Linked DNA regions of Macaca fascicularis. The protein of the gene in region 1 purifies or fractionates together with the protein of each later gene. This does not show direct contact. Links are inferred from orthologs where the notes say so. Each region holds a gene or a part of one and is shown in the gene's direction. Other genes may lie near its edges.

Evidence for each region.
Region 2: the proteins of CDK15 (region 1) and FKBP5 purify together in Homo sapiens (affinity purification with mass spectrometry; 3 studies listed by BioGRID and IntAct, counting the BioPlex papers as one, with this or other methods). This does not show direct contact. The link is inferred for Macaca fascicularis from reciprocal best matches to the Homo sapiens genes CDK15 and FKBP5.

What each region holds. Positions count from the first base shown.
Region 1 is NC_088386.1:97,624,846-97,629,340, forward strand, and holds the start of CDK15 (cyclin-dependent kinase 15), read left to right. Parts: upstream 1-1,557; 5' UTR 1,558-1,639; coding exon 1,640-1,762; intron 1,763-2,465; coding exon 2,466-2,615; intron 2,616-2,825; coding exon 2,826-2,923; intron 2,924-4,495. UniProt on the Homo sapiens protein: Serine/threonine-protein kinase that acts like an antiapoptotic protein that counters TRAIL/TNFSF10-induced apoptosis by inducing phosphorylation of BIRC5 at 'Thr-34'.
Region 2 is NC_088378.1:136,110,555-136,114,373, forward strand, and holds part of FKBP5 (peptidyl-prolyl cis-trans isomerase FKBP5), read left to right. Parts: intron 1-98; coding exon 99-284; intron 285-3,033; coding exon 3,034-3,273; intron 3,274-3,819. UniProt on the Homo sapiens protein: Immunophilin protein with PPIase and co-chaperone activities. Component of unligated steroid receptors heterocomplexes through interaction with heat-shock protein 90 (HSP90).

The sequences.
Region 1 (4,495 bases):
TTTTATGTGATGAAATTAACAATCTTTTAGGAAGAAATTAGCATTTCTGATAAAATGTATTATAATTACATTATTATAAATTCAAATGGAATTAAATATTCTGAGAAACTAGCTTCTCAGTCTCTCAGTTGTCAGTCAAAAGTTTAATGTCTTTGGCCGGGCGCGGTGGCTCAGGCCTGTAATCCCAGCACTTTGGGAGGCCAAGGTGGGTGGATCACGAGGTCAGGAGATCAAGACCATCCTGGCTAACATGGTGAAACCTCATCTCTACTAAAAATACAAAAAATTAGCCAGGCGCAGTGCCGGGCGCCTGTAGTCCCAGCTACTCAGGAGGCTGAGGCAGGAGAATGGCGTGAACCCCGGAGGTGGACGTTGCAGTGAGCTGAGATCGCGCCACTGCACTCCAGCCTGGGCGACAGAGAGAGACTCCATCTCAAAAAAAAAAAAAAGATAAAACAAGTTTAATGGTCTTTGAGCCAAGTATTGTTCCTTTTCTTTTTTTTTTTTTTTCCACAAAATATCTCTAGATTGAATCTTAGAATTGACTTAAGTCTCTTGTGGCAATTTTGAAATGAAAAAATACATGCTCATAATTAAATTACCTGAACATTTTAAAAAACCATCATGAGGTTCAAATATCAAATATTCGTAAATATTGTTGTGATGATAGACATGACTCTTATTTTTTCCCTTAATAATGATTGAATGTTTATATATCCTCCATTCTGTCTCACTCTATGATTAGTACATTATAGTGGCAATAATCTTAGGAATCTAACAGAGAAAAATGTTGCATTTGAAGACTACAGACTGCAAACCAATTTGAGCCAGGTTCCTTGACATGTCGTGCTATTATTATAGTACTTTACATATAGTAAACATTAATTACATATATGTGTAAGGAAGCAAGAAAAGAAGAAAGTATTTCATTCAAACTCCTCTCTCTCCATCACCATTGGCTAATATCATCATTTGTATAGTTAAGAACAACACAGGCACTCACCACATAGTTTTTGAATAAATGAATGAATGGCAACCCTTCTAAGACTATTGGATACACTGTTGTTTGAAGGCAAAGAGATAGAGTAGATATCTTCAACTTTTTTCCTGTCTTATGATTCTGTGGTTTCTATGACTACTAAAAGTTAGCTACGTAGAAAATTTGTTTTAAAGTCTGAAAACCAAAATGCTTTCAGATAAAAGGCAGGGAGAAAAATAGTCTTCAACATGTCCACTTTAGCACCAGGAAAACCTAATATCAATATCACTATCAATGATATCATATAAATATCATTACATTGATGAGCAATGTCAATCCCTAAAAACTATGTATACCAATAGCACTAACTTGTGGCCAGAACAAGAACCTTAACTGTGCCAAATTTTATTCTATTCAATAGCAGCTGCCTCGTTTTCAGTTGTGCACATCTGAATGCAAGCAATCCCTGTCTGATGTGGAGTTTCTTGCACTGATAAGGAAAAACTGCTGAAGTTGTGAGGCTGCTCCAGGCAGAGTCATCATGTGAGTCATATGAAAGCTCCACACTGCTGACCTCTGGCAAAAAGGGAGAGAACAAGGATAGGAGAGGCAGTGGGGGAAAGGTTCAAGTGCGGGTTTTCTCCTTGAACCTAGAAGATTATGGGTCAAGAGCTGTGTGCAAAGACTGTACAGCCTGGATGCAGCTGCTATCGTTGTTCAGAGGGAGGCGAGGCACACAGCTGTCGGAGGAGTCAGCCTGAGACCATGGAGGCTGCGTTCAAGGTATTTGTATCCCAGGAGGAGAGCATCTTTCTCTATTGATAAACCAAGGAGTTCAGACACTCCCTTTTTGTAGCAGGGTCTGATTCTTCTGCGGTAGGTCTAAACCAATAAAATGAAAATTCTATTAAAGTCACAGAAAATTTATGGCTGTAGTTATCAAATTTGGAGAATTTCTTGTAAACCAAAAGGGAAAAATAATCCTTGGCTTTGGGTTGCACGAAACTCACTTGGCTTGAAGTAGTTCTCTCGAAATCTCTAAGGTCCTAAATTACAGAGCTGAGATTTAAAAGGCAAGCTGCAGTATTAGTTGATATGCTATGGATTCGAAACTTTAGTAATTAGTTCATGATTATTAGCAATGCAGTAGTAGATTATTCCCCCACAGCAATAAATTAAGTGGACAGGAAAAAAAAAAAAGCCAGAGTTAAACAGAAAAAAGTTGGAAAACATCCATCAAAGAGATTTAGGTTAACCTAAATGTTAAAGACATATTTTTAGGTGAAGAAAGAATGTAGTATTTCAGGAGTTGATACCATTGTGGTCTTTTTCGGGGATTTTTCAAGAAAAGTGCCTTTTGGGGGTACAGGAAGCTTAGAAAACATGTGAAGAGTGAAAATGAGGCAAATAAAGAAAAAATTGTTTTACCAGGCACTGAATCTTTACTTTGCATAAATTATATTTCTGCTCTTTCTTTTTTCTCTAGCTAACAGACCTAAAAGAAGCATCATGTTCCATGACTTCATTTCACCCCAGGGGACGTCAGGATGTCCGTGCCCAGAAGTTCAAGAGTAAAAGGCCACGGAGTAACAGTGATTCTTTTCAGGAAGAGGATCTGAGGCAGAGTTTTCAGTGGGTGAGTGAGCAGCTGATGTTGATCAAGAAGAATTTAATGTGTGCTTGTCTAGGGAGGCCGGCCCTTATGTCCAGGGCAATTACTGAGCGAGCCTTCCCAAGTCTGCTCTGGAAATGCTGTCTAATTTCCCTGGAGAAAAAAGTCAACACTAAAAAAAAGTGCTCTTTCTCTCTTCCCTTTCACTCACTCCTTTTCCCCATTCCCCTAAAGCAGAGGAAGAGCCTCCCTTTTGGAGCAGCCTCATCTTACTTGAACTTGGAGAAGCTGGGTGAAGGCTCTTATGCTACAGTTTACAAGGGGATTAGCAGGTGAGTGACACATAGCTGGGATACACTTTAGAGATAAGGGTCCTGCCCCCTTAATTCACATTATAAAGCCAGGTGAGACATCATAGAGGTTCATAGCACTCAGGACCTGGGCAAGACACCATGGCCGACAGGGAGAGAGACATGATGACTTAAACAGCCTTGAAAGAAAAACAAACCTGCCCTGCCCTAATAAAAATCAGCCCACTTAAATGTTTATCAGCCTTTCCCTTCTTGCATTCAATTCAGAGAATTCAAAGAAAATAGACATTCTCTACTACTGACCCAAAGAACAATTACCACTCTTCAGGCCGGTGGGAGGCACAGTTGGTAAAGCGTCTCTAACAGGTTTTTTATATCCCTCCCTAAATCACAATGACAGAGGTTTGTAATGGCAACCTGGAGTTTGCTGCTTCATTCCTCCACCTGGCCTTTATAGAAGAAATTGGAGTTGGTTTCTGCAAATTATGGTACATGCAAAAGATGATGAATCCTAGATTTTTTATACTTGCAAAATATACAAAATGTCTGGAGAATAAAAATACTGCTTATCCAAAAGCTAAGTACTAATTTTGGTAAACAACAAACTTTGTTAAATATATATAAAAGATCCATGAATTCCCTTGTCTTTTAGTCAAGGTGGGAAAGTTGGAAGGTCGTTTTTTCTTTATGTTACTCCAATAGATAAAAATAATGGCTCAATAGTGGTTAAATATTAATTTTAAAAATATAGCTGATCCAAGTGCAGTGGTATTTACTACTTGATCACAACCAGCTACAGATTTCTTTGTTCCTTCTCCACTCCCACTGCTTCATTTAACTGGCCAAAAACAAAAAAAAGAAAAAAGAAAAATTTTATATAACTACTACGAGACTAAATATTCATTATTTATCTTAGTATTTATGCTGTTATTATTATTTTTACTTGTTAAAACAAGATTGTAGGGGACATACAATTTTATTTTATTTTATTATTTATCTATTTATTTATTTTGAAATGGAATCTCACTCTGTCACTCAGGGAGTGCAGTGGCACGATCTCAGATCACTGCAACCTCCACCTCCTGGGTTCAAGCGATTCTCCTGCCCTGGCCCTTTATACTTTCTTAATCTGTTTTAGTCATGGTGTATATTAACTTTTTTTAATGCTGAGAATATCTGCAATAAAAGACCACATTTGATTTTATTCTAAGGTTCCTCATATCAGTTTGGCCATGGTAACTGTTTCAAGATGGCTCAGATCTGGGGCACCCTGGAACATACTTGGATACATGGGTACCATGAACACTTCTGATCTTCCCTTCTGAGTTCTGACTTTGTCCCACACAAACAGACCTTTCTAGCCCAAAGTTTACACAGAATTCACTCATCTTTTCTTCTAGTTACTGTATGTTTTCTTTTTCATTTAACTCTTTTATATATTGGGAATTTATATTGTATATTCACAATCATCCCAGCTCCATTTACTAGATTTTCTTTTCTCTGATGGTTTGAAATGCTGCCGTGATTACATATTAGATCTCATGACTACTTGAAATTGTTTCTGTTCTAATCTTTTTAAAAAATCATGTTTCC
Region 2 (3,819 bases), on another chromosome or scaffold:
ACCAGGGTTTGCTGGAGGGGTTGCTTCCCTTTGAGGATTTGCTTTTCTTTTGTACACCCTCAAGACCGAGTACAAATAATGACACTTTTTTCTCCTAGGGAGGCAAATACATGCAGGCGGTGATTCAGTATGGGAAGATAGTATCCTGGTTAGAGATGGAATATGGTTTATCAGAAAAGGAATCAAAAGCTTCTGAATCATTTCTGCTTGCTGCCTTTCTGAACCTGGCCATGTGCTACCTGAAGCTTAGAGAATACACCAAAGCTGTCGAATGCTGTGACAAGGTAACGCCGTGTCTCCTGTGAGATAGACTTGAGATATTCCAGATCTTTTCTCCATCTCTGTCTTTTGCTTCCTCTCAGCCAAAGATTGAAGGATTTTTCATTTTGTTTTGTTTATTTGAATGTTTGGGATTATTTGTTTCTCAGTATGAATTGGGAAATTGAGCAAGATTTTTATTATAGCCAGACTTTTATGATACCTAGGACTGTTTGTCATAATGCATTCTGAAGAAAAATTTTGATTAAAATTAAATAATTTTATCCGTGACCTTCCTTATAACTGTAGTATATATATCAGAGTAGATGTATAACTTCTCAGGTTCAGTTTAATAAGAGCAGATTTAACTTAAGCTTTTCTGGACTTTAACAGACTGCAACTGTTCATATAAAGCATATATGTAGGTCAATTTTTATTATAATCATTTATTCACTGATATGCATAAATAATTTGAAAGGTCCACAGAGCATCAGCAGCCTTTTCATTTTTACATTTGTCTTATTAATACTCTCTTTGGTCTTTGAGTACTTACACACAGTAATAACAATGGTTTATCATCTGTATCGTTATGTGTCATTCTGATATACACCAGCTGATACTATTTTAGGTATCTGGTCTCAGGGTGAACAGTGTATATTATACTGTGGGTAAAAGTAAAAACTAATCATTGGATGTATCTTAAAGGTAGACATAAAAGGAAAAGAAAAACAAGGCAACTATTTTGTACATTCTTTGTGAGATTATTTTTTAATTTTGTGGATCAGTGTTTCCTATCGTATCCTGTCTCCCAAGACCGGTTATTAATTTTATACATATTTTTTCATTTTTTTCATACACAGTGGAGAGAGAGTGTGTGTGTGTTTTGTTTCTGTTTTAGAGACAAGGTGTTGCTATTTTGCCCAGGCTGGTGTGCAGTGGCTATTCATAGACATGAACATAATGCACTATAGCCTCAAACTCTCAGGCCCAAGCTGTCCTCCCACCTCAGCCTCCTGAGTAGCTGGGATTACAAGTGCATGCCACTACACCCTGCTAATTTTTAAGTTTATTTTTGTAGAGATGGGTGTCTTCCAAAGAGCTGGGATTAAAGTTGTGAGGTATCACACCCAGCACAGCCTTGACTACATTATTTGTCTGTCTTCTATTGACAGAAGCAGTCATATAGCATCACTGTTAACCCTATTTTTGGCAATAGGAAGCCTGTTCTCCTTTTTTTTTTTTTTTTTCTTTTGGAGATGGAGTCTTTCTCTGTTACCCAGGCTGGAGTGCAATGGCACAATCTTGGCTCACTGCAGCCTCCACCTCCCGAGTTCAAGCGATTCTCCTGCCTCAGCCTCCCAAGTAGCTGGGACCACAGATGCCCACCACCACGCCTGGCTAGTTTTTGTATTTTTAGTAGAGACAGCGTTTCACCATGTTGGCCCGGCTGGTCTCGAACTCCTGACCTCAGGTGATTTGCCGCCTCAGCTTCCCAAAGTGCTGGGATTACAGGTGTGAGCCACCACACCCCAGCAATTTTCTTTTAGCTTTGTTGATTATATCATTCTCTTTAAAGAAGGTTTTAATGTTTATGTAGTCAAATTTATCTTCTCCTTTCTAGTTAGAAAAGACTTCCCCACACCAAGATTATAAAAATAACTGAGGCCAGGCACAGTGGTTTACACCTGTGACCTGTAACCCCCAGACTTTCGGAGGCTAAGGCGAGAGGATTGCCTGAGCCCAGGAGGTAGAGGCTGCAGTGAGCTGCGATTGAGGCACTGCCCTCCAGCCGGGGCGACAGAGTGAGACTCTGCCTCAAAAAAATAATAATTAGATTTTAAATATCTTAAAATAAAAAACAATAGAAACATTTTATGGTTTTTTATATGTAAATATGATTGATCTAGAATTTATTTTTATGCTTACAATATGAGGTTAGAATTTAACTTTTTTTTTTGGAGACAGAGTCTTACTCTGTCACCCACGCTGGAGTGCAGTGGCATGATCTCGGCCCACTCCAACCTCCACCTCCCTGGTTCAAGCAATTCTGCCTCGGCCTCCCAACTAGCTGGGATTACAGTCGCGTGCCACCATGCCTGGCTAATTTTTGTATTTTCAACAGAGACAAGATTTCGCCATGTTGGCCAGGCTGGTCTTGAACTCCTTACCTCAGGTGATCCACCTGCTTCAGCCTCCCAAAGTACTGGGATTACAGGCATGAGCTACTGCACTCAGCCTTAACTCTTATTTTCTACGTGGATAGCTGCTGTCCTGGCCCCATTTATTTTAAAGTTAACTCTCCACTGATTCATATTACCACCCTTGTCATTTTCAAACGTTTTTATATGCAGACACGTGACTGTTTCTGAATGATTCGTTCTGTTTCACTGAGCTGTTTGTCCACATACTAGTAACCACACAGTCTTAATTTCAGTAGTTTTAAAGTTTGTCTTTTTCTCTGGTAGGACAATGCCTCTTAGTTTTTTCTTTTTTCCCATTTTTTTTCAGCCATTCTTGGGCACTTACTTGTTCCAATGAACTTTAAAATGAACTTCTCAAGAGCCCCCTCTCAAATCTCCTTGGTATCTTTCTAGAAATTGCATTAAATGCAGAAAATAATTTGGGTAGTAAATTTTGATCAGTAGTATATAATTATCTTGAGCCCCATTTTTTAAATACACTTTTTCCATCTCCTTTGGCAAGAGAACTTTGGTAAGCTGTTTGCTGAATTTATTAAAATTCATCCTTTCTAAAATATAAACCATCTATTCCTAGGCCCTTGGACTGGACAGTGCCAATGAGAAAGGCTTGTATAGGAGGGGTGAAGCCCAGCTGCTCATGAACGAGTTTGAGTCAGCCAAGGGTGACTTTGAGAAAGTGCTGGAAGTAAACCCCCAGAATAAGGCTGCAAGACTGCAGATCTCCATGTGCCAGAAAAAGGCCAAGGAGCACAACGAGCGGGACCGCAGGATATACGCCAACATGTTCAAGAAGTTTGCAGAGCAGGATGCCAAGGTGTGTGCAGAGCCCGCTGAATGCAGGTGGATCAAGAGCCTGCCGTGCCCCTTTGATTTTAGGGGACAGGAACAGTTAACCCAAGAGGCTCAAGAGTAGGAAAAACAATTTCCAATCTGATCTGAGGCTGAGTATGCTTTGGATCCAAAGGTTGAGTAGGGCAGTTCTAGTCACCAAAGGCACATGTCGTGAGAGATGAGAAAAGTAAATTCCCTTCAGATGTATTAGATTGGTTCAAAAGTAATTATGGATTTTACCATTACTTTCAATGGTAAAAACAGCAATTTTGCACCAACTCCCCACCCCCAAGTTAGAATCTCACTCTGTCACCCAGACTAGAGTGCAGTGGTGCTGTCATGGCTCACTGCAGCCTTGACTTCCCTGGTTCAAGTGATCCTCTCACCTCAGCCTCCTGAGTAGCTGGGACAAGCACACCACCACACCCGGCTAATTTTTTTAAATTTTTTGTAAAGATAGGGTTTCACTTTGTTGCCCAGGCTGGTCTCGAACCCCTGGCTTCAAGGAATCCTCCTACTTTGGTCTCCC